Linked DNA regions of Schizosaccharomyces pombe. The gene in region 3 interacts genetically with the main gene of each other region. Each region holds a gene or a part of one and is shown on either strand. Other genes may lie near its edges.

Region 1 (7,465 bases), 2.3 Mb from region 3:
ATCATGCATAAAACGGCAGACGAATTGAATGATCTACAAGAAAACGACGAAAATGCCTTTATGAATTGTATGGCAGAAGCTTGCTATATGCCATATATCTTTCAATGTCGTGCTAAGCAAGACAATTTTAAAGGTGAAATGCGAGTACGCTATACAGTGATGTCAATTAATCAAATGGACTGGAAGGAAGAGTCTAAAAGATTGATAAATTTCATTGAGTCTGCTCAATAAAACATTGTGTTTTACGTCTCGCTGGTCGAGTAATTGAGTTTTTGGCTTAAATCGCGAAAACTACGATTTATGATTTTGCATACATTGATTACAAAGTGACTCCTTTCCTTATGATTTGGTACTTCACTTACATTTAACTAGATTTAAAGTAATTATATATGATCTGAATTTTTGGAGTAATTAGTTCTGTTGCTTACATATTAAAGTTCCTTGATGGGTAATTTACGCTATAATGGCTTGATTGAAATCACCGCTAAAAGAATGCAATGATATCTTTTAATATGAAGTAAAATATACAGTAAACTTATCAATTGTTTTAGAATTGAAACTGTTGAAGAAATAAATTACCAGATTGTTTTGAAGTAAATACGAGTCTACGAAAATGCAATCCTATTTTAACAGGAATATGAACCATGATTTTTTTAAATTTACTTTATAAATAAACAACTTTAATAAGGAAGCGATTTAGATACCAATAACAGCAGGTTACATTCTTTAATTGAGTAATAATAATATAACTGAGCAAAAAGACTGTTTTGCGACAAATTTTGTTAATTACATACAAAATCTTAAAATACAACATTTCTTTGATTAAATCGTACAAATTTATCTTTAAAGATCCTTAATTAGCTCCCCACATTCTAAATGGAATGGAGTAAACTATTTAATCCGTCTCGCAACAACCTTCAGTAAAACCTTGACAACGAGAGATTTAAAAAAGATTAAGCGCTGGTTTTAGTTTTTGTAAAGTCAATGGGGATGCTAAAGAAATGATAGAGTAACGGATATGTTCGAAAAAAGTTCTGAAGCCATGATCTTTTGTAGATCAGATCAGTCTTATCGTATCTCCAAAAAACGTAGATTATAAGTATCTTTCTTGTAAAATTATTGTTATCATTATGATAGAAATCTTTATAATTTCAAAGATCGTCTGTTTTTTGATAGTATATTAATTCCGTTATCCGCTAATATTAATCATTTCATTAGCACCTAACCGCCAACGGTTTCCTTTAGCCTGACGATACACTATTTTGTTAATAAGCCATTGTGACATTTTATAGCAAGCAAACTATCGTCATTATTATTCAATTATTGTAATCCAAAACGGAAACATACAAAGTTAGACTGTCTACTTAACTACAAATTGGGAGTTCCGAAATTCACTGTGATTTAATTTTATAAATGGCTGAAAACAACGTCTACGGCCATGAAATGAAAAAGCATTTTATGCTTGATCCCGATTACGTGAATGTAAATAACGGAAGTTGTGGAACAGAATCTCTTGCTGTTTACAATAAACATGTCCAACTTTTAAAGGAAGCTCAGAGCAAGCCAGATTTTATGTGCAATGCCTATATGCCGATGTACATGGAGGCTACTCGAAATGAAGTTGCCAAGCTGATAGGCGCGGATTCAAGTAATATAGTTTTTTGCAATTCCGCTACAGATGGGATTAGTACGGTTTTGTTGACATTTCCGTGGGAACAGAATGATGAGATATTGATGCTAAATGTTGCCTATCCTACTTGTACATATGCCGCTGATTTTGCAAAGAATCAGCATAATTTACGATTAGACGTTATCGATGTTGGGGTGGAAATTGATGAAGATCTATTCCTTAAAGAAGTAGAACAGCGTTTTTTGCAGTCCAAGCCGAGAGCATTTATCTGTGATATTTTAAGTTCTATGCCCGTTATCTTGTTTCCTTGGGAAAAAGTCGTAAAGCTTTGTAAAAAGTATAATATTGTTAGCATTATTGATGGTGCTCATGCCATAGGTCATATTCCTATGAATTTGGCTAATGTTGATCCTGATTTTTTGTTTACCAATGCTCATAAATGGTTAAACTCACCAGCTGCATGCACTGTACTCTATGTCTCAGCTAAAAATCACAATCTCATCGAAGCACTTCCTCTCTCATACGGTTATGGATTAAGAGAAAAGGAATCAATTGCCGTAGATACTCTTACCAATCGGTTTGTCAATTCTTTCAAGCAAGATTTACCTAAGTTTATAGCTGTTGGTGAGGCTATTAAGTTTCGAAAATCCATTGGAGGGGAAGAAAAGATTCAACAATATTGTCATGAAATAGCTTTAAAGGGAGCCGAAATTATTTCTAAAGAACTGGGCACTTCCTTTATCAAACCTCCATACCCAGTTGCAATGGTAAACGTCGAAGTTCCCTTACGCAACATTCCCTCCATAGAAACACAGAAAGTATTTTGGCCTAAATATAATACATTCCTTCGATTTATGGAATTTAAAGGAAAATTTTACACTAGACTTAGCGGTGCGGTGTATTTAGAAGAATCAGATTTCTATTATATTGCTAAAGTTATTAAAGACTTCTGCTCTCTTTGAATAACTATGCTTCACAATGCATCCTCTGACTCTTTTTATGTGACTCAAAGCACTTAAGTTATTTAATACTCACCTGTGTTTTAGACATTGCAGCACAATAGATTCTAAATCTTAAGAAGCCTATAACATTCGTTTAACTAGTTACTTATATTTTGCGTGAATCAATTATTACAACGTTCACAATTTTGGAAGAAAATGTATATTTTTACTTGAAGCACTTTAACGTTTCAAATGTACAAAGATGCAAAACTATTTTTAACAATAGGCCCGAATGTATTTTTGATACAAACGGAAAATATATAAGGCACAGAACTCCAAGCAATGAATATAGTCTAGTCTACAAAGCTGCAACTTTTTACCAGGAACATGCATGGGTTCCATGCTAAGGGAGAGAACGTGACGTGCGGAAACATGAGGGTATTCGGGACATATATAAGTATAATGGCGAGGCTCATTATAAAAGGAACGAAGAGCCAGGAATAATCACAAATCATATTTTAACTTTTAGGCAGTTATAGCACTAGCAGTAACGCCTGATTTTTCTTCTGAGTCAACCTCAGATGCTTTGGGCTCAGTAGAATCAGACACGTTAGTGGGAGCAGATTCTGAAGCCTCAATAGGTTCGTTTTCATTTTTTTCATTTTCATCATTTTGCTTATCTTCACGGAAGACAGCACTTTTAACAACCAAAGTAAGGTCACCTACTTGCTTTCCATTCATTTCCTCAATAGCTCTGGATTGATCCTCAGCATTAGCAAAAGACACAAATCCAAAACCACGACCACGACGTTGCTCACCACGTAATTTTATACGGCGAATAATATAAGGAGGAAGGGAACGAACAGCAATACGAGCACGAGTAGGATTGTAAGCATCGAACATTTCTTTAAGGCCTTCATTTGTTAAAGTAACGGAGAGGCCTGAAACATAAATAGAGTTGGGAGGCAAAGGCTTAGCCTTGTTTTTACCAGACCCACCCTTTCCTTTGATCTCATTTTGTTTCTTATCGACACCATTTGCTTCATTACTTGAAGGAGCTGTTGCGGTATTAGCTTCATTTTCATCACTGGAGCCCTTAGCAGATTCAGCATTTTCGACAGAAGTTGAAGTTTCAGGTTCTTCACCATTTTTATTTTTTGACTAATGTGTCAGAATGATATTGATAAAAGCTTTGCGAACTAAAGTATACTTACCTTTTTCCTATCTTTTATAGGTTGCTCTTGGACAGGACGAGCTTTTTGAACAACAATCTCGCGATCATCCAATGTTTTACCATTCAATGTCTCTATAGCTTTGTCAACATCCTCCTGATTGTTGAATGTAACAAAAGCAATGCCAGAAGGTACGAGACGGGTACCACGGCGAACACGACGAAAAGGAATAGTTACTTTACGACTAAAAAGCATTAGTAGATGATCAAATATAATTAAAGTAGCACAGATAGTTTCGAGTAAATATAAGCTCGCATAGCTCCGTTTTAAAATCGTTTTTGTGAAAAATATAAAGTATGACTTCTAAAAAGTAAATTTTCAACAACTCCAAATTATGCACTGATTTTAATAGAGAGAGCTTTAGCTTTAGCGCTTAAACATAAGAAAATTTTGTTCTAACTCGAAATTGCTAAAACCAGTAATAGTTTACATACACAGTACCAACCGTTTCAAACAATGAACGGATTTCACTCTTTTTGGTAGACGTACTTAAACGCCCTACAAAAACACGAAAGTCGTCCGCTTGTTGAGCAGGTGTGTTAGATTGTTCTGCAGATGCATGTACAGCAGCATCTACAGATGCTTCAACTTGATCTTGAACAGTATTAGGAGCGTTTTGGGTTACAGTTTCCTCAGCGGACATCATTAAATTCGTCTAGGCGTTTTGTAGTAATTATAGTCGATATATGCTAACGGTAGGTTCCATCTGACGTTGGGGACAACATGTACACAACTCCGTTGCAGACGTGTGTGTATGCATACACCGAAACGTATAGAAAAAGAATGTCAAACATACAGCTTTTTAATGATAAGGATGATTTTTATAGAAAAATAGAATTATATCTTTTTTTCTATGTATTTATTTTACCCATTAACCCACATTTCTGACCTTAAGGAAATATTCGTTTTTGTCTCTGCATAGACATAGGATGAAAGGAAGAACCGTAATTGACCAGCTTGGGAGTTTGAGATTCCATAGGATGAGACATAAGAAATTTTGCATTACCTTTTGTTAAAGAGCTTATAACACTGTTGTAGTCGAGAATCTGCTCCAAAGGCACCTGAGCACGAATACATTTAATGACAGATGAACTCTGTAGTAGAGAAGAAGCATTGTTTGCTTTAACAGAACTAGGTTCATCAGCTGGTAGATATCTTTCACCTAATATTCCTATCGCTATCTGCGAGTCTTTCGAAGCAGCATTCTTTCCAATCTCTGTAATTTCTTTGATCGTGGCTCCCCGCTTGCCTACAAGATCTTTAGAAACAATACCAACATATTCTTCAGGAGTTGTAATTGTAACATCCATATAAGGTTCTAATATTCTGAAACTTTTGGGACTTCTCTTGTATAATGAAAATACTGCATTTTTGGTAGCTTTCATCGATGCTTGTGTCAAAAGTGACAACGGAAAGTCATTAGATAGAAAAGAAGAAATGGTACAAAATGACTGCAAATTCGTGAGAGGAAACCCATGTAAAGGCCCATGCGATAGACCTGCAACTATTCCAAAGTAGATGTTTTCTTGAATACGTTGGAAAGAGAGATGATCCGGTAAAGTACACGAGTTTTCCGGCTTCCAGCCATAAAACAAAACTCCATCTTCTTGCCCTTTACTTCGAACTTTTTGGATCTCACCTTCAGAAAAATATTTTTTCAAGGTTTCATCTCCTTCATCAGAAATAGGGATTAAGTAAACATTAATAATGAGATTCTCTTTATTTTCTGTGCTTAAGGTAACTGAATTAAAGCTTACATCAATCAAAGTTTCACGATAACCAACTTGAACTTTTCCTAAAGATGCTCGAGCTCCAAATTCAGACACCAGTCTTTCATAAGAAACTTGTAAATGCATAATGCCCATCCCTTGTATCAATAGTTGTCCATTCTCTAAATCTTGGGTATATCTAAATGAAGGATCTTCACGATTCATGTTAGCCAATGCTTCTAAAAGTGCGGGTTCATCTTTTAGCGAATAAGGTTCTATAGAAGCAATGCAAACAGGTTCAGGAATACTGATAACACTTTGATTTCCAGAAAGGTACTCATGAAAATTTTTTGAGTTCTCTTTATTAATAATGATATCTCCGGTATGAAATTGTTTAATCCCACTAATCACTCCTATGTTTCCAGCGGAAATGCAATCAACTTCTTGAGTCTGGTCAGCGAATACATTGTATAAACGAATTGCTCTTTCTGACTTTTTAGTTCTTGGATTAAACATCATCATTCCTCGGCTTAAAGTCCCTTCATTGACTCTGACATATGTGAGAATTCCCCTAGAAGCATGATGTATAACCTTGAAAATCTTTGCAAGCAAAGGACGTTTATCCAGGGAGATTATTTTGTCACTACTCGTTTCTTTTGAAGCATTTTTTTCATAAAATTCTACAGGACTAGGAAGATAATCAATGATCGCATCCATGATGGGCTGAACGGCTATATTTTTAAGAGAAGATCCGCATAAAACTGGAACTACATTGCCAGAAATTGTTTTCTGTTTGATAATTTTAAATAAACGGTCATTAGTGAAAGCGAGTGAATCCTCATTCTCAAGGTATTCATCGCATAATGTTTCGTCAACATCGCAAAGGCTCATGACTAATGCATTTCTCGCTTCTATAAATCTCTCCATGTGTGATTCCGGAATTGGAAGCTCCTGAACATGTGTACCATCTGTTCCTAACTTGTTGTCAGATGTATCCCACAAAATCATTTTCTGCTGCAAAATATCCAAAATGCCTAAAAACTTCCTTTCTTGTAATCCATCTGAATATACTGGCAATTGAAGTACAAGGGGATATGGACAGTCTAAATTGGTGTATATAGAACGAATGGTGCTACCCAAGCTAGAACCTACACGATCCATTTTATTGACAAAAATAACCTTTGGAATGCCGCGTTTGGTAGCTTGTTTCCATACAACTTTCGTTTGGGCTTCAACACCAGCACTACCATCTATAATGGCTACAGCACCGTCTAATACTGCTACTGACCGTTCAACTTCAAAGGTAAAATCAGCATGGCCAGGGGTATCAATTAAATTGATTCTTTGATTTCTCCAAGTGAAGCTAATTGCGGCAGAGTTAATAGTAATTCCGCGCTGGCGTTCTGCAGGCAAATAATCCATAACCGTATCTCCTGTATCAACATTGCCAAAGTGGCTAGTAAAACCTCCGTAATATAGCATCTTTTCTGTCAAAGTAGTTTTTCCCTATTAAAAAGTTAGAAATTTCTGTTGTAAATAATCTTATGGTCAAGGTACTCAAACAGTTCCATAAAGTAGGAAATACTTACAGCATCAATGTGAGCGATGATGCCCACATTTCTAATAGAATTTATTGATATATTTGATTGATATCGTCTCCATACTGGTAACCGAATTTTTAATGGCTTCCATACAATCCGAAGCATGAGGTTAAGGAGCAAGCTTCTTAGTCTAAAAGAATTCCGGAGCAAAAGCTTTAATACAGAGAGACTACACACTCAGGTATACAACCATATAGGATAATTAATAAAAAGTTAATTAATAATATATGCGATAATCAAAACTTTTAAAAACGGCAATTTAGCATGGTCATATCGACCGCACTTTTATCTCAATTAAAATAACCACGAATTTATTAAAAGTAATTAATATCTCTAAGCTTTATACTCTGCA
Region 2 (7,346 bases), on a different chromosome or scaffold from region 3:
AATCATCCTGCATTTACATCATGTGCTTATCTGCAGAATCCAGTCGTTGATTCTAACAATGAATACGAAAGCAAGTTCAGACTTTCTTTAGAGATACCTCCAACTGATTTCTTATCTACTTCTACTGAACTTTCGAAGCGTGAATCATGCCTTAGTACTGAAACGTCCTCCTCCAAATTTTCCGCCGTCACCGCTGCCACTATTACCAACGAAACCCAGAGTGAAAAGCGTTCATCCCAAACAGATCCAAGCCTTCCTTTCAAAACCAACTCCCTTAATTGCGACGTCACTTATGAAGAAGGTCCTCTCACCAAAAAGCTCCGAGGACCCAAAAAGTACAAGCCCTCCCATTCAAGCTGGGATATATATGGTTTCAAAAAAGCCAACCAGTTTTATACCGTTGACCAATACAACACATGGTATGGCCCTTACAGCCGCTACCTGGAGCGTCGCGAACAGCGATGGAAGCTTTTCCTTCAAGAAAACGGTATAGACTATATACACCAATCTCCTAGTATTTTTCCTAGCCGCAGTGCTAAAACTCAACGATTTATTCGCAAAGGAATACCACCCGAGTATCGTGGCAATGCCTGGTTTTATTACAGCGGTGGTTACGAATTACTTCAGAGAAACCCTAAACTGTACGAGACTCTATGGCGTTGTGCGTGCATAAAAAAGCCCTCAGATTCTGACCTTATTGAACGTGATCTATATCGTACCTTTCCAGACAATGTACATTTTCGACATAAATCCAAGCATTCTAGGAACTCATCCGACGCATCAGAGCATTCATCAGAGGAGCCTGATGTTCCAATGATTTCAAAACTGCGTCGTGTTCTAATGACTTTTGCAACATACTTACCTGAAAATGGTTACTGTCAAAGCTTGAATTTTCTTGCTGGTTTCTTCCTGCTTTTTATGAGTGAAGAAAAGGCGTTTTGGATGCTCGTAATTACGTGTCGTAAATATTTACCAAAGATGCATGATGCCAATTTAGAAGGTGCTAACATCGACCAAAGTGTTTTGATGGCATCCGTTCGAGAAAGCTTACCAGCGGTTTGGAGCCGCATCAGTCTTAATTTTGATGGTATACCCGTCAATGATATTGTGGCAAAGCTTCCTCCCATTACTCTCGTAACTGCTGCCTGGTTTATGAGTGCCTTTGTTGGCATTTTACCTACGGAGACTGCTCTTCGTGTATGGGATTGTTTTTTCTATGAAGGCAGCAAAGTTTTGTTTATGACGGCATTGTGTATTTTAAGACTTGGTGAAGATGATATAAAGTCGAAAAGTGAGCAGACAGAGGTATTTCAGGTGATTCAAGATTTACCCAAATCGTTACTTGACGCTAATGCATTTCTCTCCTTGTGTTTCCGAAGGAATTTTAGGCGCACTCCCTCCCAAAAGGATATAGAGCGTCGAAGAGAAAAGGTTGCAAAAAAGCGTAACTCTTCTGCTTCAAAGCTTGAAATGAGTGATTCTTCGAAACATCACCTTAGTCGTTCATCATCACGATTCAGCAAGTCGCATATAATATCTCAGCTTCATAATCACTTGAAGAAGTCTACTTAGTTATGTCTGTTTACCAATTGAGTTTGCCCATTGTCAAACCTGTCAAACCTTTACTCTCGTTACTAATTTTATGAATGCCCTTGTTCGTTAAGAATTTGGTTGATTGGTTCAGATTTTTATTATTTTTTTACATTGCTACATTGAACAGCCCTTATTCTATTAATTTTGAAATGTTTGTATGAACGTCGTTCCATCACTTATTTGTTCAGCAGATTATTATTTTAGGTAGTCATTGACTCCACTATACACTCGTTTTATTCGGGCATATGCCATTATTTTTGCAAATCGATCTATTTATATGTCTCTTTTGTATAATTGCCTCTTTCTTGTTTGCATAACAATCGATTTTATCTCCCGTTGACACTGGGAATCGAGTCACTAATGTCGGCATGCTTGATATTATTAACATAGCATTATAAGATCACTGTTTTATCATTTTTTGTAGTTAGCCCTCAGTCTGTATTTTTATAAATCATTTGTTGCTAATTCGTTTCAACAGGAAATTGTTTTTAATGTTAATATAAAGTATGAACAATTGATATATTAAAGAAAACACTAAGCTGACCGATGTTTTGTAAAGTATGTATATAAATATATATAAAATTAAAGTTTTCTATTGTGTAATAATAATATGGTTAGTGAAAAGGGATTAAGTAAAGAAGCAACTAATGAAAGAATTAACAGTAATTATAATTAAAATCTTAGAATCTTAAGGATCGATGTTCGATAGAAAACGATTAATTAATGGAGTTTCTTCAAGTATTATGAGTCCCTAAAGGATGAAAGGAGTTATGATATAGTGAGAATAATCAGTTTGTTTAAAATAAAATATCCTTTTCACACATAAAATAAAAAAGCACTTAGTAAATGATGCTTTAGCGAAACCTATTTAATGGTTCGAAACTGCGTTGTTAGATAAAAATTCACAGTTGAGAAAATTGGGAGACGCAACATAGGTAAAGCCTTGAAAAGCAGAGGAATGGCTACCAATTGTTAAATTCCCAAATTCTTCATGAAGAATGGGTGTTGTAGAAAGAGGCAATTTGGTAAACTCGACTGAAAAATTCTCCGCAGCCTCAGGATTGGTGATGCAAGGAACAATTGGGGGAGGCAGCATGCGCTTCTCTAACTTATTCCAATCAATTCGGCGATAAATTCTGTGCTTTTTTATTGCATCGTAACCTTTCTCGGGACCATCTGCGCCGAGGCGTTGCTTTGGATTTTTCTTGAGAAATTTGTTGATAATGTCTCTAGCATCAGAAGTCACATAAAAAGGTATGTTAGGCTTTGCACGAGTGATTTTTTCCATAATTCTCTTATGATTGTTGGCGGTGAAGGGGGGAGATCCTGTAAGAAGATCGAATATGAGGATACCCATAGACCACCAATCGACGGCATGATCATATGGCTGCTCCAACAAAATTTCTGGAGCACAATATTCCTCAGTGCCTACAAAAGAACGACAATCAGCTCCATTTTCAGCCACCTTTGACAATCCAAAGTCTGTAAGAAGGATATGGCCTTCAGCATCCAAAAGACAATTCTCTGGCTTTAAGTCCCGATACACAATACCAAGTTTATGTAAATGTATCAATGCTAGAGTCAATTCAGCAGTATAAAAAGCAACCACATCCTCAGGAAGCATCCTTTGCTCGGCCAAATGAGAAAATAACTCTCCTCCAGGTGCATATTGCAATATCAGATAAAGACGATCGTGGTCTTGAAAAGCATAATAAAGGCGACAAATGAACGGATGTCGAACCTCTTCTAATATCTGTCGCTCATTTTTGGTTTGTTCGAGGCCCTTGGCACGAAGAACAATGCTAGCTTTCTTTAGCTGTTTCTGAGCAAACAGTCGTCCAGTATTTTTTTGCTTCACTAGGAGCACCTTTCCGTAAGAGCCACGACCCAATACCGTTAAGGGTTGAAAGTCTGCTGGACGCATCTTTCCGCTTGGTACATAGTTGTCACCCTTGGAAGAAATAAAATCACCATGGGCAGCAACCTTAAACTCTACCGTCCCCTTTTCATCTTTGGCATTCTTTCCATCCTTCAAATCACTTGACGAAGTGATTGTCGACGCAGATGCCTCCAATTCTTCAAAATCATATCCCTCCTCTGCAATCTCATCGTCACTAGACAAATGGGAATTGTAATTCTCATTCAAATTGTCGTGCTCATCAAACATAAAGACAGGCATCTTTGAGCAATTTGTACTGTGAAGGATCACAAGTTTGGCATATGTATGCCCAAAATGCCTTTTCCTTGTTGTTTGGTAGACGAACAAAAGACTGCCGGGATGTAGAGCAAGAAATTCTCTTTGTCATACCTCATTTTGTTGATTCAAAACGCATTGCTGATTGGCCAATTTAGTAAAGTTTAGATATATATAAAGCTTTTGATTCGCCCTCTTTACTAATTAAAGTTATCAACTTACTACTTATTGGACCGCTTACATAGGCTATTGTGCGTTTTACTTTAAAATTTTTTTATGCCGAGAAGCTAGATTAGTGATGATTAACGTGTCTTATACGATGTGCTTTGTGCATTTTAACGAATGAAAATGTCTTGTTGCTTATGTTGTTACCGTAATGTAAGGCTGGCTCTGTAAAACGATGCCAGTTTTATATGGCCTATGCATACCTTCTTCTTGAGACGCGCGTGTTAAACTCATCTTTCGTTGAATGGCGAATTTACATCAATGAATTGAGATTTAGGAAGATTTACTTTTTACATAAAGTTATTCTATGGTCTCAGATATTTTGAATTAACATTCACTGCGTGACAATTGCGTGTATCATCATTTTAATTTGCGTTTCATGTTTGCTAGTTTCATCTAATTGTGCATTTCGTTTTAAATCAAAATTTTCCAAATTACTCATATTTATTAGTCCTCGTTTTTTACAATGTCTCAAAAGAATTTTTTCGACGAAGGAAAGAGCTATGGTGTAAATGACTATGCCGGTTTCCATTTTGAAAATGGTGCTGATTCATCCCTTCCTCAGGTATCGGCTCAAGGTGTAGTTAGAGAAACGGACAGCTCGAATTTTGATGCTTCCCCTGTCGCATCGGGTTCTGGAATTTCCGATGTTGGACCATTTGGCGCTGATTTCCATCAACTGCAGCAGCATGTACAGACACCGTATGGCGGTATGACTATGCCTGCATCTTCCTCTTCAGGCGCTACTTCAGTACCACCGGAGCAAGATCCTTCTTTGTCTGTATCATTCAATCGCTTGCCCAAGTCTGCATCAACCAAGACTAAGAATGGACGCATTCGATCGTCTCGTCGGGAAGACGATAATCGTATACCATTTTACGATCTCGATGTTGCAGAAGGTGCCGAGGATGATTTACAGGAAGACTTTCACGTGGAAGGAATGAAAACAAAATCGGGTAGAAAGATTCAGCGGCCAGTCGCATACAATCCTAATGCCACCGCATTGAAACGGAAAAGTCGCAAGGTCGATATGGTCACCTTGTGTAGCGTCTGTCAACGAGGACATTCTCCTTTATCTAATCGAATCGTATTTTGTGATGGATGCAATTCTCCATATCATCAGCTTTGCCATCACCCTCCGATTGACGATGCAACCGTTCAGGATGTGGATGCTGAATGGTTTTGTATGAAATGCCAGTACAGGCGTGCCAAGCAACCTTTAGAAACGGGAATGACGGCACAAGATCTTGGGTTAAGTGAATCAGACAAAAAAATGTATCTATCAAGTTTACCTACTCCTCATCTCGCAGATCTTATTCTTTTTTGTGAAAAGTCTTATCCATCTCTTCCCATATACAACCCACGTACTCGGGAGTTGTTGGGTGAGATTCGGCATCAACTACTTGTTAGTTCTGAACGCCAACAAATATCTTTACAAGAGCGACTTCATGCTAAACAAGATGAAGCTCCCTCTGATGAGCCTGCACCTGTCCCCTATACCGCAAGTTATGTTGCGAATTCTGGAACCTTATACGACTATCCAACGTTAATACGGTTAGCTATTCGTAACACCCTCTCACCTTCCAAAGATGAAATATTTAACTGGCTTGCTCAAAACGTACCATTGTTACCAACTTTTCACGACAGCGCTTCCGAGGCCATTCGTTGGATGGTAAATAAAGGTCAACTGGTCCGTTCCGGTAGCATCTATCAAATAGCAACAGTCGAAGAATACCCTCACCTCCAACCCTCTTTACTTCCTACTTTTCAACGAAACCGTAAGGTACCTAAATTGGTGCCTGTCTCTTTCCCCACCGATGATCCTCAAAATTTATGTGCTACTGTTTTATGAAACTGAACAAATTTTTCTAAATGTATAGACAAAAAAAATTTCTTTACTTCCCGTTTTTAATTAAACGGTTGCGTCCCGTTAATCTCGAAATAAATTTATAAGCGGTCGAAAGCAATGTATCATTACACCATGTATTAGCTGCAAATCAAAGTACTTTAGTATTTCCTTCATGGATTCAAACTTTTCACTCGATAACAAATCTAGGGAAAATACATAAATCGCCCTACACACTTTCTGTTTACATTATAAACTTTTCGTTTGGAATGTTTCCTCGCCATGAAATCTTAAAATAAAATAAAATAAGGAAATGAACAATTTCTCAATTTAGCAATAATTAAGAAAGTCAATGAAGTATAATAAAAAATAATTATTTTTAAAGTATGACTTACAACCATTATTATCGGTCAATGTCAGGGTGTTACAGCGCACCTTCTACTTACCACCAAAGATGAGGTCCACGTTGGCTAGCGCTCAGAAAGCAGCCGTACGTATTCCAAAGGGCTTTGTATTTCCTGTTCCAAAAGTAAAAAGTGCTCCTAAGGTTTCAGACACGCACCCTTTGTGGAATTTCTTTCGGGACAAGCAAGCCCTTCCACCACCATCGGAAGAGGCTAAATTCGGTAGAGCATGGGCTGCAGAAGAGCTTCGTTGGAAGTCTTTTAATGATCTACATGGACTTTGGTACAATTGTCTCCGAGAGAAGAACCTATTGTTCACACAAAGGGCTGAAATGAAACGCTTACAGTTGACTATTCCCAAAGCCTCAAATGAGCGTGTACTTGCAGTCAATAAAACCATGGCAGCTATCAAATTTGTCCTATGGGAACGCCAAAGAGCATATACTTCTGCCAAGCAGCTCGAGAAACAAAAGGGATCTTCTTAAACCCCTTCCTTTTAGGAAAACAGAAAATCATCCAAGTATGGCTTTATTATGATCTAAAGCTTCATCATTTCACAAACTTTCTAAAAATATACCCTAATACACGAGAAACTGTTTTATAATGATGATAATGATTTTTTATTTTGTTCACCTATAATTGTTTTCTTTATTTTGTTTATACTGATCATAAAATCTCGGTTGTCCCGGCAACCATGCTAATGTCTTTACACGAAATTTAGGAAATCGCATTCTATCCACATCCATTTGTTTAGACTTTTGTTTCGTGTGACAATCGATAATTTGAATGAAATAGTTTTTTTCTTTGTTTTTCGGATCCATGGATTGTGGAAATCCGCTGTTTTTACAATGGATACAGGAGTGGATGGAAGAGTCGACGCGTCGCTTCCCCAAGTCATATCAAACCTGGAGAAAGGTAGGAAATTTATTGGATTAGTGAAAAACTCTTTGAAAAATAAATAATTTAAATATTAAATTAATAATGACTGTAATTTTTCGAAAGCTTTTATAGCTTCGTACTCCATAAATATCATAACAATCACTGTTGTTGTTGTTTTAAATAAGAAACCGTGCTAATAATTAGG
Region 3 (11,476 bases):
TACAATCCCAACGGTACTATTCCTGAATGTCCATCCAGAAACAAGACCAGCTGGGCTGTCAGTGCTAATGCTTTCCCAGTAACTCCCAACACTACGATTTGCTCCAATGCCGTTAAGAATCTCAAGTGTTCAGCAAATGGAACTCCTTCCGGTAGCAAGATCTCTCAGGTCTTGAGCGAACTTTGCTACTACGATAACAAGGCCTGTTCTTCTATTAGCAGCGATCCTTATGAGGGTACCTATGGTAACTACACTGGTTGCACTGGTGTCCAACAACTTAGCATTGCTCTTAACGCTTACACTCAGGATCATGGTGCCGATTCTTGTAGCTGGGGTGGTGTTGGTGAGCTTAAGGCATAATTTCCTCATTAATCCTTATTCAATTTTTTCATTTCTCAAATAATTTTAAACCTCAAAATTGAGCCTCATTGAAACTTATCTAACATTTTTCCAATAACATCCTTTGACAATTTTATTAGTCACATACCATTCTTGCATATAATCCATGAGTTTGTAATCAGCCACCTGTACTATTGTAATCTCCATAGGGTTTATATAACCTTTGAATATTTTAGAAGATTATTCGCTTCAATTCAATCAACTGCAATATTTATTTAGGTCAAGAAAACTACCGTGAATTGGAAGAACATTTTGCCATCGCTGTATATCCGAGTGTTTTGTTCTCATAACGTAGTAAACAAATAGTAGAGCAGTGTCGTATGAATCTTTTCCTGCTTCATGTGGGCGTTTTCTGCTCATCATTGACTTATATGGACATTCAATCAGCGAATTTAAAGAAACATTTGACCTTTGAGATGAGGAGTTAGAAGGTACTGGCGGTAGAGATATCTTTGAAACTAAGGAAAGTAAGTCCGTTGGTATCCCATCTGATACATGTTGAAGATCATCGGATTTCAAGTAGAGAAGTTTAGTGTCATATATAGATTTGAAAGATGATAAACAAAGCTCAGAAAACTCTAATATCGTTTCCGGGACTTTTCCTTCAAAAAGGGAAAACAAATACACCAAATCTGCCATGCCATTGTGACAAACTACTGACTTTTTTTTCTTAAGTATATAGTCCCATAAATGTCGCAACCCAACATTCTGTTTGATCAAATTTAGATTGTTAAGTATTAATTGGTCGCTCGCAATATCTTCTTTGAGTTCGCTTTTTGAAGTGGCAGAGCATTGAGTTGTCGAATTTTCAATAGCCTTCCGAACCTGCAGAAATGTTCTTTTGGGGTAACTCTTTAAAGTTGGAAATTCAATTTTAACCAGGGATTGTATTGCTTTTCTTATAAAACGATTAGAGGTAGTAATGTTCAAGTATTTTGAAGTGGAATGTGACAACTCGCTCGATAACCAATTCTTAATTTGATTTCTTGCGTCAACAAGAATTTCTTCATCGCAAGCATCTAAAATTGAGCTGGTCAAGTCGTCAGTTGATCTTTCATTAACCTTGTCGATCAAATTTCTTTCTTCAATCCGTGATAAGTATGGTACACCCTCTGTCAGTTGTTTATTAAAATCAAAACCTTGTTGTATCAGAAACTTAATACTGCTAGCCTCCGAGCAGAAGTCTCTCTTAAGGTGCAATTCATCTTTAACTAGAGGACTTACGTTAATATTTACGGGAATACACGAAGATTTTCCATTGTTTTGCAAATAAATAAAGGTTATACCAATTTGTAAAATTGTGTATCGTATACTACTTTTTCTCAGTAACTCATATCTGTCTTGTAAAGTATTTTTGTTGTTAAGGTTGAAGTCTCTTAATAATCCGGAAAATTCACAATCAATGGAAACATAGTGTGCTGAATCTACGTGTTTCTCCAATTCTTTTAATGTCTCTAAAAAGTTTTTGCCATGTATCTCCATCTATAGATTCAATGTATTTTGTAGAACTCAATTGAACATGCACTGATAATATGCTAATTTATAGCATATTTTGGAAGCTAATTAATAATGAAATTGTGAGTATGAGCTAATACAAGTTTGATATAATCCTAACACAAACATATAGAATATACTGGTGCATTTGTCCTGTTTATATATACCATTGAGTAAAAATTAATATAGTGTTGTTGTAAGCAAAATCATTTTTAGATAGGAGAAATATTAATAAATAAACTATGTCTAAGATTCAAATGATTGAAAACGTCCCGCTACTCGTGTTATTAAAAAAGTAATACTGTAAAATACTCATACTAAAACCTAAATCGGCTACTTCCTTTTGAAATGCTCAACTTTTGGAGGTGCAAAACCGTGGGCCATCGCCGCCAGAGCAAGTTTCGATTTGGGCTTTTTTGATTTTTTCATATGGCCTTTATCTTTATTTTTTTCCACATAACCCGGCTTTTTGGAAGACGCTTGTTCAATTTCAGATTCGTCTATTTTGTTTAACACATCTTGCTTGGAACTGGATGATTCATCAAGGCGTGGTTTCGTGACCTTATTATCAGCAGCAGTCTGATCAGTGGAAACTTTGTTCTTAGCGCGCTTATTCGGTATATCTTCATCTCTCTCAGTTCCTCTTGACAAATTAGCACTATCTATATTGTGCCGTTTTTTGACTTTATGTGCTTCTTGTTTTTCCTCACAGATACCAACCGACGGCGACTTAATTGGGGTATCCCGTGAGGCTAAATTTAAATTGTTAGATGCGAGGTGTGTCGAAACGTTTGATATACTTTTTGAGTTCTTAAATTGATTAGCACTCAAGTCTCTCCAAACACCACGAGTTTTTGCGTCTTCAATCAAGCTATAAAAAATATCCTCTTGCATTAGCGGTTTAGAATTGCCTACGATATACAAAGATGATTTAGCTCTTGTTAAAGCTACATTAAGCCGACGAAGATCTTGAAGGAAACCGATTCCACCGCTCATCGAACTCCTAACGCAAGAAAAAATTATAATGTCCTTTTCCTGTCCCTGAAACCCATCGACGGTATGAATATCAAGATGCTTGAATATAATGGAACCATACTTTCTTTGAAATTGTGATCGAAGCTGTTGTACTTGACTTCTATAAGGGGTAACAACTCCAATTTTCCCCTCAAAATCAATGTTTAGATAACATTGAATTAGCCTCTCATATAATAATAAAATAAACGAAGCCTCTTCCACATTGTACAGAGACTTTGAGTTGGAAAAAGCTTCCGTCCCGTGAACATTAAAAAATCGATAAATACCTAGCTGCGGATCCTCGTGCCAAGGTCGAGATGTCACTGCTGACATATTGGGACCGTCAAGTAGTTTTGAATTATAGAAAAACTTGCTGGGAAATCGGCTAATTTCAGGATTCATTCTATACTGTATGCTAAGAAGACAAGCGCTCTCATTATGCTGTTTGAACATTCTGACATATAGAGATTGTGAATATCCAAACTTTGCAGAGGTTTTTGATAGCACAGTAGGAGGAAGCTGATTCGGATCACCAACCATTACACAGCTCTCACAGCCATACTTAAGAGGTATGATTGAACTTAATTCAACGGCTTGTGCAGCTTCATCAATTATGACAGTTCGAAAAGTCAAACCCGCATTTAAAAGTAGTTCATGACCACTCGCAGATAAGGTAGCACATACAATATCAGCTTCCTGAAGTAGTTGATTTTGTATTTGTTTTTTCAAAACATCCAGATTACGATTAGTTGAGCGTTGACGTTCTCTCATATCATCAAGGCTCTGTTCAAGCATGTTTTTCTGTTTGGTAATCTCACGAAGCTGTGCTTCCAATATTGAACTATTTTTTCCAGTACTACGAAACTTTTCTAGATCTTCGCGTAAAGAGTCCCTTTTTTTAATAATTGAGTCATATTTTTTCCGAGTATCACTGGAATTGTTTGCTTCTTGATCTTTCTTTAGGTTCGTAAGTTCCATTTGCTTTATCATTTGCTCTTCCAAAGTAAATTCTTTAGCGTGAACGCTTATGGAGTCACCAAATCCAACACGAATAACTTTTGGAAAAAATTTGATACCCTCATGATCGTAAACACCGGCTTTGATACGAAGGAGAATTTCATCTATGGCTGCATTACTAGGAGCGCATATTAAAATCTTATTCTTTGAGGTTTTTCGCGTCTGTCCTGGGACATTAAATTGCAACCCTTGACTAGAAGAAGTAAGTACAGCTCCAATCATGCCTAGAATGGTTTTAGTTTTTCCAGTTCCAGGAGGCCCTTGAATGAGCGTAAAACCATCATTTACAGAAGATGCATAAATCGCATATGCCTGGGGTTCATTTACACCATAAGACTTCATTATTTTTTGCTTTTTGTCATCTGTAAAATTTGAAGGTAGACGCGTTACATTGGCATCCAGAATTCTCTGAGACAATGGTAAATGGCGAAGAGATTTTAAAGCAGCAAATTCACGTAAGCTAGTAGTAGCATTAAATAATTTTTGTGCTGTGAACCTAATGTTCGGTGCATACTCCTGTAGATCAATTGATTCAATATTCATCCGCAGACAGAGTTCAAGTGATTCTTTTTTACGAGAAATGGATTGAATTTTGCACAACTGAAAAGATTTTGGGTTATTAGTATCGCCCGAACTTTGTGATTTTGACAGTAAGCAAATATCTGTATCACTTAAAAAAGAGACTTCGGTAGGTGAACAGGACGTAAAGTAAATATCGACAAAGTTATCAACTGTACTGCGGGTGTTGAGGATTAAATCTATGGGAGGGTATTGCTTTTCTTCAACGGCACTTTTCACTTGAGCCCAACATTCATGAAACAACATTGGTTTGAAAACTTTCTCATAAGCGTTTGAATCATTATACGTGAATTTAGCTTGGACGCACTGCATCTCAACATTAGACGCCGAAAAAGAATCAGCTAATGGGTTCCAACCCAAAATTACTTTGTAAAACTCTTGAACATCAGGGTTTAGCCGGAGTCGAGCAAGTTGTGCACTTTGTTGAGTATTACGGCGCAATTGAGTAGGATGAACTACATTTTTTGTTTTAAGGGAATCAAAGTCCAAGAACTGAATCTGCCTTCTTTGTGGAAGAGATTTAGAGGCATGAGAATTAGCTTCACGTGCAAGCGAGAATAGACCGTTACTAGACTCTTCTTCGGACTCCGAGGTATCTTCATCGGAAGTTGAAGTATTTTTGTCATCTGGATTAGAATAACTTTTAGAAGTGTGCAAAAGTGAAGGCTTGCGAATTGGGTCAGCAGAATCGAGCTTTTGCAAAGCTTTTGGTATATGATTATCCGAATTAAGTTTCTCAGAAAGATGGTTCCCCGCACTGGTTCTTGGAACTTTCGCGGATTCGCGAATTCGCTGTGTTGTCTCTTGTTTAGATTTCAAAAAATTTAAATTTTGAGATTTTTGAGCATTTCTATTGATGGCTTTAGAAGCAGAAATAGCCTTCGGAGGAAGCAAAAAATGATTTGAAGTACTAATGTTTGACTCAGGTAATTTTTTCGCAATCCCAATAGTCTGGTCTTTAGAAAGCAAACCCCGATCATCACTCTGTAACTTAGTTTCAAGCGTATTGGTATCATTGAAAGGAGAGTGATTAAGAACGTCTTCTGAAAGGTATGGTGTGAGCGATATAAAAAGATCCTCTCTCTCAGTGAATGTAAGAATTGTTTGTTCATCACTGGTAATTGATGCCCTATGGATAATATCAATCACATTTTGACTAATTGGACACTCCAACTTTTTACAAATTTTAAGCATTTTACAAATCACTTTCACAACGGATGTTAGAAGTGAAGAATCAGTTAACTTAAGCCAATAAGATACAGTAACCAAAGAATCAGCTATACACATAGCTAAAGCACTGCCCTTATCATTAGCCGAAACAATTTTAATATCGTTATCCGATAATCCAAAAATGAATCCGTTAACTTCCTCAAAAATATTAATGAGCATATCGCAAAAATCAAGGGTATCCCGCATTAAATCAACTAAATTGTCCTTATCATGAACTGGCCAAGTAGGAAGAACAATGAAAAAATGAGTAAAGAATTTCCATAACGATTCCCAGAAATTCTTAAGGGATTCTTTCTTTTCCACTTGTTTTGCAAAAGTCGCATCCTTAGAAGTTAAGCCATCAACAGAGTCAAAAATAGTGTTTATAATTAATTTATTAAAATAAACAATGTGCTTGGCTCCTCCAAAGTTTCTGACTTTAAGCCACTGCAGAAGAACATAACATGAAGAATTTAGTGTATTTGAAAACTGGCTTCTCAATAGCTCTCCTATAGTATCAACAACGCTGTCAGAAAGCGAAATAGATTTAATAATTGAGATACTTCCTGTTGAGATCTCAAGAATTGGAGAAAAAACGAGTGAAAAGATTCCACGAAAAGTTAAAGGATTTGAAACCAATTGGGTTTGTGCCGACAAATGCCAACATTGAGTCTGAATAAGCATTTCAGAAAATGTTGCAACAAATCCGTTTAGTGCATTTTCGAAATCACTTTTGAACGGAATGTCAACTTTCTTAGGCGGCAACTTATCAATCAAGCAAACTGTAGAGCAAGCACGAAAAACAATACGAACCATAAAGAACTTCTCCTCTCGAAATACGTTTTGCAAATATACCCAAAAATTTTTAAAAGACTCACTTACCGATTTGATATTCAAGGGTGGCTTTCTATTTCTGTCCAAATAATGGCAATAGAATTGCTTCAAAATATAAAGATCTAAATTCAATCGGTATTCAAAAACTTTCTTAATAAGCCTCCATTCAACAGACTCTTCATTTTCCAAGTTTAGCAAACGAAACAGCTCGTCAAACTTAATCGCTAAAGTGGAATGTAATTCAAATACTTTGTTTTGTAAACTTTGATCACTATGGGGGAAAATCATAAAATATTCGGAAAACAAAACTGAAAATATGTCAGCAAGTGATTGAAGTAACTGAACATTTTTGAAACCGACTTCCAGTTCCTTTTTATATTGCATGGTGTAATTAATCAAAATTTTGTTAATTAATTCAACTTCATCAATGATTGAAATTGTCTTCAAAAGAGAGGTAGCCCATTCAAACGGATTCTCTGCCTTTTGGTCGTTTGAAAAATTGGATGTATTTTCTTCTGTCCACCTCTTATAAGCATTACCATTAAAAATTTTATCTATTACTTCACTGGGAGAAATTTCTGGCGTCCAAAAATTACGTCCATAGCAGTATAACAAAGAATGTAAACATACAAGGAAAGACGGACATAAATTAGTATGGTCGCTTTGCAATCCCGAAAGAATAAAATCGGCGACATTGAAATTTTTTCCTGTAAGTCCCCTAAAATAAAGATGATCAACATGCTTTAACAGCAACGATAAACCTTTCAGAAAAATTTGCATCTCGTTCTCATTTTCTTTCTTCTGGTCTAAAGAACGAATTTCCTGAAGAAGGGGACCCTCAAGGATTTTAAATTCATTATCGGAGATTGTTTTTACATCACTTAAAATACTGCAAGCCCATCTTCGGAGCTCATCATCTCTCGAGAAGAGAAGACTTATGACACCTGGCACTAGGTTTTTCGAGAGCCGAAGAAAACCGGACTCAAGAAATCTGTTTCGGAACAAGGGAAAGATTTCTTTATTATGTAAAATACGAGGAGAGTATAAGATTTCGTAGAAGGCGCATAGTATAGGTTTAGAGGCCGAGGACGTGTCGATTTTAGGCACTGTTTTGAGAACTTCCTGTAACCGAAAAATGTCCCAACTATAAATTTTCTCCATTACAATCTCAAGAGTATTTGGGTCAAAGTGAAAAATGTTTAAACATAGACTTTTGAAATCATCTAAAGATTGGTGATATTTAACTATACATTTGGGGCATAACTGAAGGCGTTCGTTCAAATGTTTTTTGAACCATACCAGATACTCGTTATCATTTTGAAAAGAAAATAGAAAAAGACATTCACGAACTGCTACTTGTAATTTAGGATCACAAACCCAATGAGGGTTTTGTCTGTTAGTATTTAGGTATGAAAGCGCCAAATGCAAAACTTTATTGGACCCTTCGAAAGATGGGTGTTTTTGATTTTCCTGAATTTTTCTTATTAATCTATCAAAAGCCTCGTCATTTTCCATAACCACAAGCTAATGCTGCATTCTCACTCTCGAAGTAGACTTATTAAAGCGCGACTGCAATTTTTCAAAATCTAGGTTTCTAAGGAAGTAAATTACACTATTCACTATAAACATTTAGTGCAACCAATCATTTGATGTCCACACAGCACTCGATTATCGCATTGAAATAAAATAGCCTTAAGAGAAATTTTAAATAAAAAAATGAACGTATATTTTGAAAGTGTATATAAATTCATGTACCAAAATCACGCTTCTTTATTGTAATTAAGATATATATGATTATCCGAAATATATTTTAAACATTACTATATATAATGTGACAACTTAAAAAACTTTCTTACCCATTATAATCCGAAGTTTGTGATTGTGTGTTTAATTCCTAGTTTCAAATATGACTATTTTCTTCACTGAGCAAAGAATCACAGTTCATTTTATTCAGTATATTTAAAAATTTTGCAGTAACATGATATATTCGTTTCATATATTTCCTTTGTAAGGATTTAATTCGCATGCAATCTTTGCGTCAACATACAAGCTTAAATCATTTTTGCTAGTTCTTTGTGATATTCATACATTAATAAAATAGACGTCAAGGAATAATCAATCCTTGTTTTGAATAAAAATTTTCTTTTAAACTTTTAAGCTGTTCACGAATTGACCTGCAACAAAGAAAAAAAAAATATTGATCAATCATATAACTTTTCTATATGACTTTGTCTCTCAAATGAATCAAATAACCATAAACAAAGCCGAAAACCAACTGGATGTGAAATTTTTAAAGAAAATATTCAGTCAAAATTACTGATTACCATTTTTCTCAAAAAGCAAACGTGCGAGGCGCTTATAGTCAGAAAGAAGAAGTTCAATTTCACCGATTTTAAGATCGCTAGCATCAGAAACAGTCAAAAAGCGTTCCAAAGGTGGGTCGCCCACGAATTCTACAGAATTGGAAGAATCTTCTGAACTTTTGGCAGTGTGATTGGCTACTTTACTAAGTAGAGAGGCATAAGATTTCTCAAGTGCTAGTCCCAGATTTCTTAAATTAGATAAAGATGAGCGATTCACAGGGTAGGGTTCTGCACTCGGATCATGAAGCGAGTTAGAGGTCGAAACTGTTTCGCTATTAGCTACCTCAAGTGAAAGAGGATCATCAGAGGGTTGAATTGACGATTGAGTTAAAAGATTTGGACAAGCTCGAAGAATAAAAGTAAGGGCTGCCTCAAAAGTTGTGAGACAGTATCTTTGCTCTCCGCTTAAAAAATCTGCATTTCGAAAGCGTAACACAAAATTCAGGTGCGATATTAAATGAAATCCGGGATAACAGAGAATGCAATATATGGTCAAATTTAATAAAGAATCAGCATTCAATTCTTCTTGAGGAAGTTGAGAGGCATTCAATATACTTGAATTAACGGTCATAAAAGTGTTTATTTTCGATCTAGGTGTGTGTTGCTCATCGAGAGCAAAAAATGCTTCAGAGACTTCATGTAACCGGTTTGTAAGTTTTTCATCATCAGGTATTGGAATGCAATTGATAAGTTCTTTCTTTTCTTCAGAAGCAATAAATTTTTTTAACAAGTCATCTTTGGCAGCATCCGTACTTGTAGATAAACAGAAAATCCTAACACAATATTAGTAAACAGTTATTGTAGGCGAAGTAATCACATACCGATCATACAAATATTCGCAAACTATATCTTCAATTTGGTCCATCCATTCATCTTTTTGGTTCAGCAAGTGTTGTCTCGCCTTTTTCTGAGCATCTATTTCCTCAGGAAACAAAAGAGGCACATTTTGATCTTTTGAAGAGGGTTGAGGGATAAGGGTTGAAGCAATAAACTCATCGGTATGCTTGTAAAAGTTTTGAAATGCTTTTGCTAGTTCTTCAGGCGAAAGCAATTGAGGGTGAACCGGACTAACTAGAGAAGAGATAAACTGTATCACACATGCTTGTACAGTAGTTGGAAGATTTGATGCAGAATTTGGGAGTTTGATGTCTTCTTCCTTAGGCTTATTTGTATATTTAACAGCTCTCCAAGAATTCAGAAAGCTCATCGAAAGGAACTTTTACGAAAGGTGATCAAAAAGTTTAATTTTCAAAAATAAAATTAAACGAAAAAAAATTCTATATATACATGTAACTAAGAATATGTTAGCATAGGGTCTAATTCAAATTTTCAAATTTATATCAGATAGGATAAACAGCAATCGAAGGAACCGAGTACGAAGTATTCGTTGAGAGTCAAAAATATAACAATATATCCCTAATAGAAAATATACATCGTTTTAAAGCTATAAATGCTAGCAATTCCTTCTTTACCTTTGTCGTATGACAAGTTTTCAAGTAATTGTCAAAATATAGAGACACGAATTAAAAAAATAAGAACGTTGATTAAGAACTTGATATAAAATGAAATAATAATCAGAGGTAATGCTTACTTGACTTTAACTTATAAACCCTTCAAAATAGAGGAACAGTGCTGGTAGAACCAAAATTGATATGCATTCATGTTTCGGCATAATAATAGCGTATACTCGTTAAGAAACCGTATACTGTAAATGTAAATAATAGGATGAGTAAATTTAAGTGCTAAAAAAAATAATTTAGAATTATAGATTCATTAATTCCTTTAACAATTAAGATGATCGGAATGTTAGTTTGTACGTTATTTGTATCGAAGATGAAGTTTAATACTTATATAGATTACAATAAACTAATCAATACTTGAAAGCAATTGTTCACTGTACGATATTGTTGAATAATTTGGCAAGAATAAGCATTTAATTTGATGATATATTTTACTTTTTCAAACTTCATGAAATACACATCGAAGTCCATAACAATTGTCATGATATAATATTGTAATTGAAGAGTATGATCAATTTACATCGGTTGACTTTGTTTCTCTTTTTAATGAGTTATCACTGTTAAGAATGCCATCATGTCATAAAAAGGATTTATGGTGTATTATGCAGTGTCTATACCATTCAATATACCCTTAGCCTGCATCAAGGCATTTAAGGAAATAAATAGTAGCAGATTTCCAATTAAGAACTTTTATTTTCTATTTTAGTGATAAAAATTCAGTTACATACCAACGTTTGACGCCGTTTGTTCAGTGTTATCAATACACCTTTGTAAATACACTGATAAAAATAGGGAGATATAACGAGACATTCACTTATAAAAATTATCAGATCAGATTATTAATCCATCCTTCGTCGCCTTTCTTATAACGAGGCGGCATATAGAAATCACCTGTTGTTCAAGTCATTCAAATCTCACATACCATTAATAGCCTTGATATGGGGAATCCAAAAAAGAGAGCAGAAAAGGCCGAAGCGGCAAAATCTAGAAAACAAGACGAGGAAAAGAAAAAAAAAGACGCTGAAGAAGACGAAAAATGGTCCAAGG
Region 4 (6,702 bases), 1.5 Mb from region 3:
AAAGTAAACCACAACAAAAGTCTATTATGTCCTTTTTTGGAAAGAAATAAGTTACTATTCATTTTCGATAGTATTAAAACATGTGTTCACGAAGTCCCTTCAATTCTCATGCAAGCTATTATCAGGAGTTTTATTCATATAGAAAAACTGTTAATGTTAGTACAACCTTTAATCCTAATCTACTGTTTTTAGTTTTGTTTACACTATTCACAACCAACTATGTAAGTCTAAGAGAAGTCGAAATCAATTATCAATACATCTTTTAATTTTAAATATCATAAATAAATATGTTTCCTCAAAGCATAGAAGAATCGATTCTTTTTTTTATTAGAAGTATTAAATACTCCATACATTAATGAACCACAATGCGTTAATGTGCGTTAACTACAACACATAATTTGAAAGTTGAACTTCATATTTAGTCAAAGCCTTGTATATTGGAAGTAGTCATGGGCAAAAAGCAGACGAAGCCTATTAATGCTAAATCAAGGAGTGAAAGCAACGTAGTTGCGGATCCTAGATTTCAATCAGTTCACTCTGATCCTAGATTTTCTAGACTTAAACGTGGCAATTTTAAAGTAAAAGTTGATGAGCGGTTTAAATCTCTCAAGGAGGATAAGGACTTTAAAACTACTGCCAGTGTTGATCGATATGGCCGTCCTCTCAACCAAGATAAGGCTACTAAAGAGATTGATAGACTGTATGAACTGGAAAATGAAGGGTCGTCCAGTTCGTCTGAATCATCGGAAATTACTGACAACGAAGAAGTCGCTTCAGCGTCTTCGAAATCCACAAAATCGGAAGAATTAACCGATGAGGAGTCCGAAGATGAGGAAGTATATGATCCAGCTCGTGGTGAGGGAATTATTAGTACTTCGGAAAGTAGCGATGAAAGCGACGCTGAAAGTGAAACTGAAGCTCAACCGGAGATATCCGAATTAGCTGGAATCGAGCCAGAAGAGAATATTCCTCGTGGTTCAGAAACTAACCGTCTTGCTGTAGTAAACATGGATTGGGATAATCTTCAAGCAGTTGATCTTTTTGTTGCTCTTTCTTCTTTTTGTCCTCCTGGTGGGAAGTTACTGAAAGTGTCGATTTATCCCAGTGAATTTGGAAAATCCAGAATGGCTGCGGAACATGTTCAGGGTCCTCCACGTGATATATTTACTCCAGCTGACAATCAACCTTCTAGCGCCGAATTGCATGAGGCTCAAAAATTTGGTTTTGATAACAATGAGTCTGATCAAGATGAGGAAGATGCTTTAATAGAGGAGGATTTAGGCAACGAGTTTGATATGGTAAAATTACGCCAGTATCAATTAGAAAGGCTTCGTTACTATTACGCAGTAGTGGAATGTGATAGTGTAAGAACGGCAAAGGTTATATACGAAACTTGTGATGGCGCTGAGTATGAAACTAGCGCTAATATTTACGATTTAAGATTCATTCCAGATGATGTTACATTTGACGACGATGAATCTCGCGAAGTATGTACTAAAGCGCCCGAAAAATATGAGCCGAGAGATTTTGTCACCGATGCATTGCAACATTCAAAAGTTAAACTTTCGTGGGATGCTGAGGATCCACACAGAAAGGATTTAATTAAAAAGGCTTTTACTTCTCAGGATATTGAAGATTTAGACTTTAGCGCTTACATTGCCTCAAGTGAATCTGAAGATGAGGATGTAGATGTTATTCGTTCTCGTTACCAAAAGTTATTAAGTGGTGATGCTGATGACTTCCAAGCGAATAGTAACCCTTTTGAGGATGATGACAAACTTGAAGGCGCCAATGGTGAGATGGAGGTTACTTTTACTTCAGGTTTTGATGTTGATAACAATGCGAACTCTTCGGAAAAAGATGAAACCACTATTGAAAAATACAAGCGTAAGGCCGCTGAAAGAAAACAAAGACGGAAAGAATTGAGACAGCTTAAGAAAACAAAAGACGATGAAGGTGAAGGATCCGACGTTGATCTTGGTTTTGATGATCCATTCTTTAAGGACAAGGATGCTAGTCGTAACAATAAGAAAAACAAAAAGGGCAAGCATACTCAAATTGAAGATCCTACGGCCGCGTCTAAAGAAGAACTGGAAAACCTTGTTCGTGAAGATGAAAACGATTCTGAGCAGCTCGATCATTTTGACATGAAGAGTATACTGAAGGCTGAAAAGTTTAAGAAGAATCGCAAGCTTAAGAAAAAAGCCTCCAATTTGGAAGGCTTGCAGGAAGGATTCGAAGCTGATGTCAGTGACCCACGTTTTGCTGCTCTATATACTAACCATAATTTTGCACTTGATCCAACAAATCCTCATTTCAAACGTACTAAAACGGTGGAAAAAATTATGGACGAAAGTCGTAAAAGACGCTCAAATCAATTGGAACAAACACAAGACGGTAAGCCTGAGCTTAAAATCAAAAAGCGTAAAGCTGAAAAAGGAGATCAACGTCAAGAACTTGATCGCATTGTCAAATCTATTAAACGTTCTGGAAAATAAATTAGAAATTGTACTCTGTTTTTCCTCTTGAACGATTGGATTTATAGAGTTTGATTTTGTACATATAAATTGGTCAAAACGGGGTTTTTTTGGTTTGCTAATATATTTGTTTTGAATTTTATTTGATTTTAGAATGAAAGCACGTTAATTTACATGGTGTAAAATATTAGATTATTTTTTACATAAGTATGAATATAAAAATATCGGATCATGGTGTTGAGACCGCGATCAACACACTTAAATAATTTGAAAAAAAAAGCGTTAAACTATGCATAATTATACAGACGTTGAAGTCGTCAAAGTACATAGGGCAAAATCGGTTAAAGGAGGAGCGTTAGTAAAGGTAAGGACTAGTCATGAACAGAACATTCCATTTAAAATTGTTCCTTTTTTTTTTTTTTTTATAAAAAACTCTAATGAAGCTTTAACTTATGGCCACTTCAAATCAGCTGCTTCACTCGGATTTTTTAGCTTGCTTGCTATCACGAGCAGCGTAAATTTTAGCAGTAAAAGGTCTATTAATGGTTAGAGTAAAGAAAAATTTAAAAATTTAAACAGTTGGCAACTTACTCTTCAAATTTCAAAGCTATTCTATAAACGAAAAAGACTTCCAAAGTTAAAAGGAGGCCAGCAACTTTTCCATAACGCAGAGCTGTAGAAAGGAAACAAAGAGTAGAACCGTTGTACATTGGGTTATCGTTGACATTAAATGGGAAACCAGAAACACGCTCTGGAAGCAGAAATCCAAAGTAATCACCAAGATATGTACCAACAAGTCCTAGCTTATACATACTCGATAAGACAAGGACGCTGCCAAAACAAAAAATGAGCTTAGCTATACCCTGCACAAGAGGGTTCATGAAGATACCTAGCGTAGGTTGTTGTTTTAAAGCATTCTGATAAATTAAGTCACGAACTATTCCGGCAACAAAAATACAAGCTGCTAGCATGTAACAGGCCTTCTTAGAGTCGCCATTTGCCAATTTGGTCAAAGTCTTATGATTGTATTCTGAACGTGCAGCAATATTCCATAGCAGAGGGTTCAAAGCAATAGATACAGCACAAATTAAAAAAGAATTATTGATTTCAAAAATGGCCATGTTTAGCGAAAAATATGCTTTTATAAAAGGTTGATATAAATACGAAGTTGGTTTGGGGTAAAGAATCAAGCTCATTCAAACGACGTCTTTGATACAACGGAATTTAACGATATTGCTATTTTATAAAATAATGAGAGAAGGCCTGAAAAACATAAGTACTCATTTGTGTTTAAAAGATTAAATTAGAAAAAGGAAAGAAATGATTGATTTCGCATATTTCAAATTGTAAATTTTCGATGGGGGAGGTGGGTGTGGTTCTGGAGCTTTTTTTCTATAACAAAGAAAATTAATCCATAATGCCAAATTACATTCTTGAATTATTAAGCAAGTCAAAAATTAATTGTGATGGGGTGTCTTTGAGTCTCTACTTGTACTTGTTATATCAGTAATACTGGAAATTTGTATATCTTCGGATTCCCCTTCGGTTGAACTAGTAATTAATTTAAAGTTTTTTAAGCGAAAATACAATGTTGAGTTGAATTGGTTGGAAAAAAGATAGGAAATTGGAGTTTACTTTAAAACTGCAGCTTAAATATGTTTTTTTTTTTTATTGTTTATAAGAAGCATTTTATTATTGAACTTCTATATCCGTCAAGATTGACGAACACTATGAAACTGTAGCAAAGCCATTTAGCTAAGGAAAAAAATGATACATTGCTTCTTTCCTGAAATTACGCCACTGTTTATTGAATCTCTTAGTTTAAAAACTAAGTATGTATTTTTCATTTTGACTTAAAAATAAAGTTGAAGCAACTGGTATTCACTGCGTTAATCAAGCAAAAGAATAAACGACAAGTTTATCGAATATTTTATTCCATAAAAATAGAGTGAACATCAAATCACTTAAATTTAATTCCTTCTTAACTTAACCATCTAGCTTGAATTTTGCAGATTTGTTCAGAGATTGATATGAAATACACCTCAAGCCTAACGTGTTACTCAACTAAGCATTTCCGCCTAAAACGTTCGGTTTGGTAGAGAACTTCACATTCTAATCCTCCACACCCAATCAACATCATAGTCTCTTTCGTCGAATATTTCAATCTATTAGTGAATTAGAAATATTGGTTTATTGTTGATTAGTAAAATTTCGTTTTGAAAATTGATAACTCTGTGTAATTTCAGGCCTTTTTACCATTACAAAAGATGTTGTCACGTAGACAGTTAATACCCATTGCTACCAAGTCGGTTTCTCCTTTTCTTCGCTCCTCTATAACATGCCGTAGAATTTCGATGGGCCGTAAAGAACTGAGCGAGAAAGACTCAAATATTTTGGACAGCGTCATTCGTGTCGATCAAGCAGGTGAATTAGGCGCTAATCAAATTTACAAAGGTCAGCACTTTATCCTTCAATTTACCGATCCCAAAGTCGCACCTACCATTCAGCATATGTGGGATCAAGAAAAGTACCATCTCGCAACATTTGATAATTATGTCTTAAAGAATAGAGTCCGTCCTACCTTTTTACGTCCTTTCTGGGACATCGCTGGATTTGCGTTGGGAGCAGGAACTGCTTTGCTTGGAACCAAAGCAGCTATGGCTTGTACAGAGGCAGTAGAAACGGTAATTGGCGGACACTATAACGACCAACTACGTGAAACGGCTCATTTGGAAAATAAAGCTCCAGAATTTAAAGAGATTCGTAGCCATTTGGCAGAGTTTCGAGATGACGAGCTAGAGCATTTGAACACTGCAGTCGAAGGTTGGAACGCAAAGGAAGCTCCAGCTCATGCATTGCTTACCAATGCCATTCAAATGGGTTGCAAAGCGGCTATCTGGATGTGTAAACGATTTTAAATACTTCAAGTTTTCCTGCCTCAAACTCAACTTGCTAGTCCTTTATGAAGCAAAGAACGCCCATTTGATTCAAAATGTTTAGTTTTTCTTGCTTCACAATAGTATGATCCTTGTTAAAACTTACTTAATCTAATTAATACATTTTATCTAAATTCCTTTTCGCGTGTATTCAGTGTTTGTATTATATTTTTTTAATAGACTAATTAAGAAGTGTATGGTGCATAAAAAAACATAGATTTTGTTAAAAAAAGTTTTATGACCCCTCATAAATTATGGAATAATAATGACAAAAACGTCGTATTATAAATCCTGATATAGCTAATAGTTTATAAGACCGGAAACCTTTTAAGTTTTCATAATTGACAATAAACAGACTTGCCTGAGATCTATTTATTGCATTAATCTTGAAATTTACGCAAAGTGGAAAGCTCATCCAAGATGCCTTGAAGATTTTGGTCATCAATTTTATTCGCGAGACTAGGAATCAAGGTCCTAGCCTCTTCAGCGTCTTCGCAGCAGAGTGTTCCCAATTGTGCACGTTCAAATTTATGGAATCGATTACCAAGAATTCTATGAGGTTAGTCAAATATTTGCATACGGCTATTTTCCTCTAAAATTCTATTCAATTCTTTGAAATTATGTACCTTTCACATGCATAAGTGGCTTCAGCCGTTTTAAACCGAGCAAAAACATTGAAGTAAGCTACTGTTTTTTTCATCACACTATCCTAGTTAATTAAAAAAGAATATGCATACAATAAGACATACTCAGTCATTGGAATCTCACCATTAGTTTCGCGTGCTCGTTGTGCCAGAACTGTTTCAATAAGGATTTTGGCCTCTGAAACCGTCAACATATCCTCATTCTCAAACTCTTTTTATATTAGCAACAGAATAAAATTCAAATCCAACCTGGACCAAGTTTTAATTGTGCAGCATCTTCCTCAAAAATAGCCCTCGGCATTATGAATAGATGCTCGCAAACACTCTCTTCAGAATGTTGTTTTTTCTTTTTATCTAATTAAATCAATAACTATTATACAAATGTATTCCCAAAAATAATGTCAGAATGCTCTTTATGCACAACAACCAGCTTTCTTGCTGTTGCTTCGTGTCTAAAAATCGCGTCCTTGATTGCAGCATTTCTATAGCCGCTGCTAATAATAACGATATTTTATATTTATCTTAAAACTAAATAACGATTGTTCTTAATAACATTATGAATTTACCGAGATGTACGGAGATGTCTAAGAAAAATTTATTTTATTGATATTTCTTAATCATTTGTCTAGCTTAACGACGCCAGGG

What was found.
Region 1: mutations in dbl8 (region 3) and tcg1 together harm fitness less than expected from each alone (positive genetic interaction), as found in Schizosaccharomyces pombe (one large-scale study listed by BioGRID).
Region 2: mutations in dbl8 (region 3) and psk1 together harm fitness less than expected from each alone (positive genetic interaction), as found in Schizosaccharomyces pombe (one large-scale study listed by BioGRID).
Region 4: mutations in dbl8 (region 3) and cho1 together harm fitness less than expected from each alone (positive genetic interaction), as found in Schizosaccharomyces pombe (one large-scale study listed by BioGRID).

The regions. Positions count from the first base shown.
Region 1 is NC_003423.3:212,128-219,592, reverse strand, and holds tcg1 (single-stranded telomeric-binding protein Tgc1), read right to left. Parts: upstream 4,495-7,465; 5' UTR 4,450-4,494; coding exon 4,238-4,449; intron 4,072-4,237; exon of another isoform or gene 3,988-4,071; coding exon 3,786-3,987; exon of another isoform or gene 3,733-3,785; coding exon 3,097-3,732; 3' UTR 2,692-3,096; downstream 1-2,691. Other genes in the region: DNA replication factor A subunit Ssb1, read left to right, coding at 1-231; ergothioneine biosynthesis methyltransferase Egt2, read left to right, coding at 1,414-2,592; mef2 (mitochondrial translation elongation factor G), read right to left, coding at 4,694-7,018, 7,102-7,218. UniProt on the Schizosaccharomyces pombe protein: Binds single-stranded telomeric sequences of the type (TG[1-3])n in vitro. Has a role in meiosis.
Region 2 is NC_003421.2:455,639-462,984, forward strand, and holds psk1 (serine/threonine protein kinase S6K family Psk1), read right to left. Parts: upstream 3,858-7,346; 5' UTR 3,773-3,857; coding exon 2,462-3,772; 3' UTR 2,071-2,461; downstream 1-2,070. Other genes in the region: GTPase-activating protein Gyp3, read left to right, coding at 1-1,572; PHD finger domain-containing protein Phf1, read left to right, coding at 4,479-5,864; mrpl4 (mitochondrial 54S ribosomal protein uL29m), read left to right, coding at 6,313-6,747; Holliday junction resolvase subunit Mus81, read left to right, coding at 7,082-7,177, 7,346-7,346.
Region 3 is NC_003423.3:2,555,067-2,566,542, forward strand, and holds dbl8 (ATP-dependent RNA helicase Dbl8), read right to left. Parts: upstream 8,104-11,476; 5' UTR 8,062-8,103; coding exon 2,227-8,061; 3' UTR 2,084-2,226; downstream 1-2,083. Other genes in the region: 1,3-beta-glucanosyltransferase Gas2, read left to right, coding at 1-360; tri1 (CAF1 family ribonuclease), read right to left, coding at 598-1,881; guanyl-nucleotide exchange factor Muk1, read right to left, coding at 8,860-9,682, 9,731-10,116; oxidative stress transcription coactivator/ribosome recycling protein Oxs1, read left to right, coding at 11,368-11,476.
Region 4 is NC_003423.3:1,055,318-1,062,019, reverse strand, and holds cho1 (putative phosphatidyl-N-methylethanolamine N-methyltransferase), read right to left. Parts: upstream 3,657-6,702; 5' UTR 3,599-3,656; coding exon 3,069-3,598; exon of another isoform or gene 3,052-3,068; intron 3,014-3,051; coding exon 2,953-3,013; 3' UTR 2,894-2,952; downstream 1-2,893. Other genes in the region: DNA polymerase delta subunit Cdc27, read left to right, coding at 1-50; pre-rRNA processing protein Esf1, read left to right, coding at 450-2,498; ubiquinone biosynthesis protein Coq7, read left to right, coding at 4,745-5,395; DNA-directed RNA polymerase II complex subunit Rpb4, read right to left, coding at 5,794-5,965, 6,040-6,117, 6,163-6,268, 6,307-6,358. UniProt on the Schizosaccharomyces pombe protein: Catalyzes the second two steps of the methylation pathway of phosphatidylcholine biosynthesis, the SAM-dependent methylation of phosphatidylmonomethylethanolamine (PMME) to phosphatidyldimethylethanolamine (PDME) and of PDME to phosphatidylcholine (PC).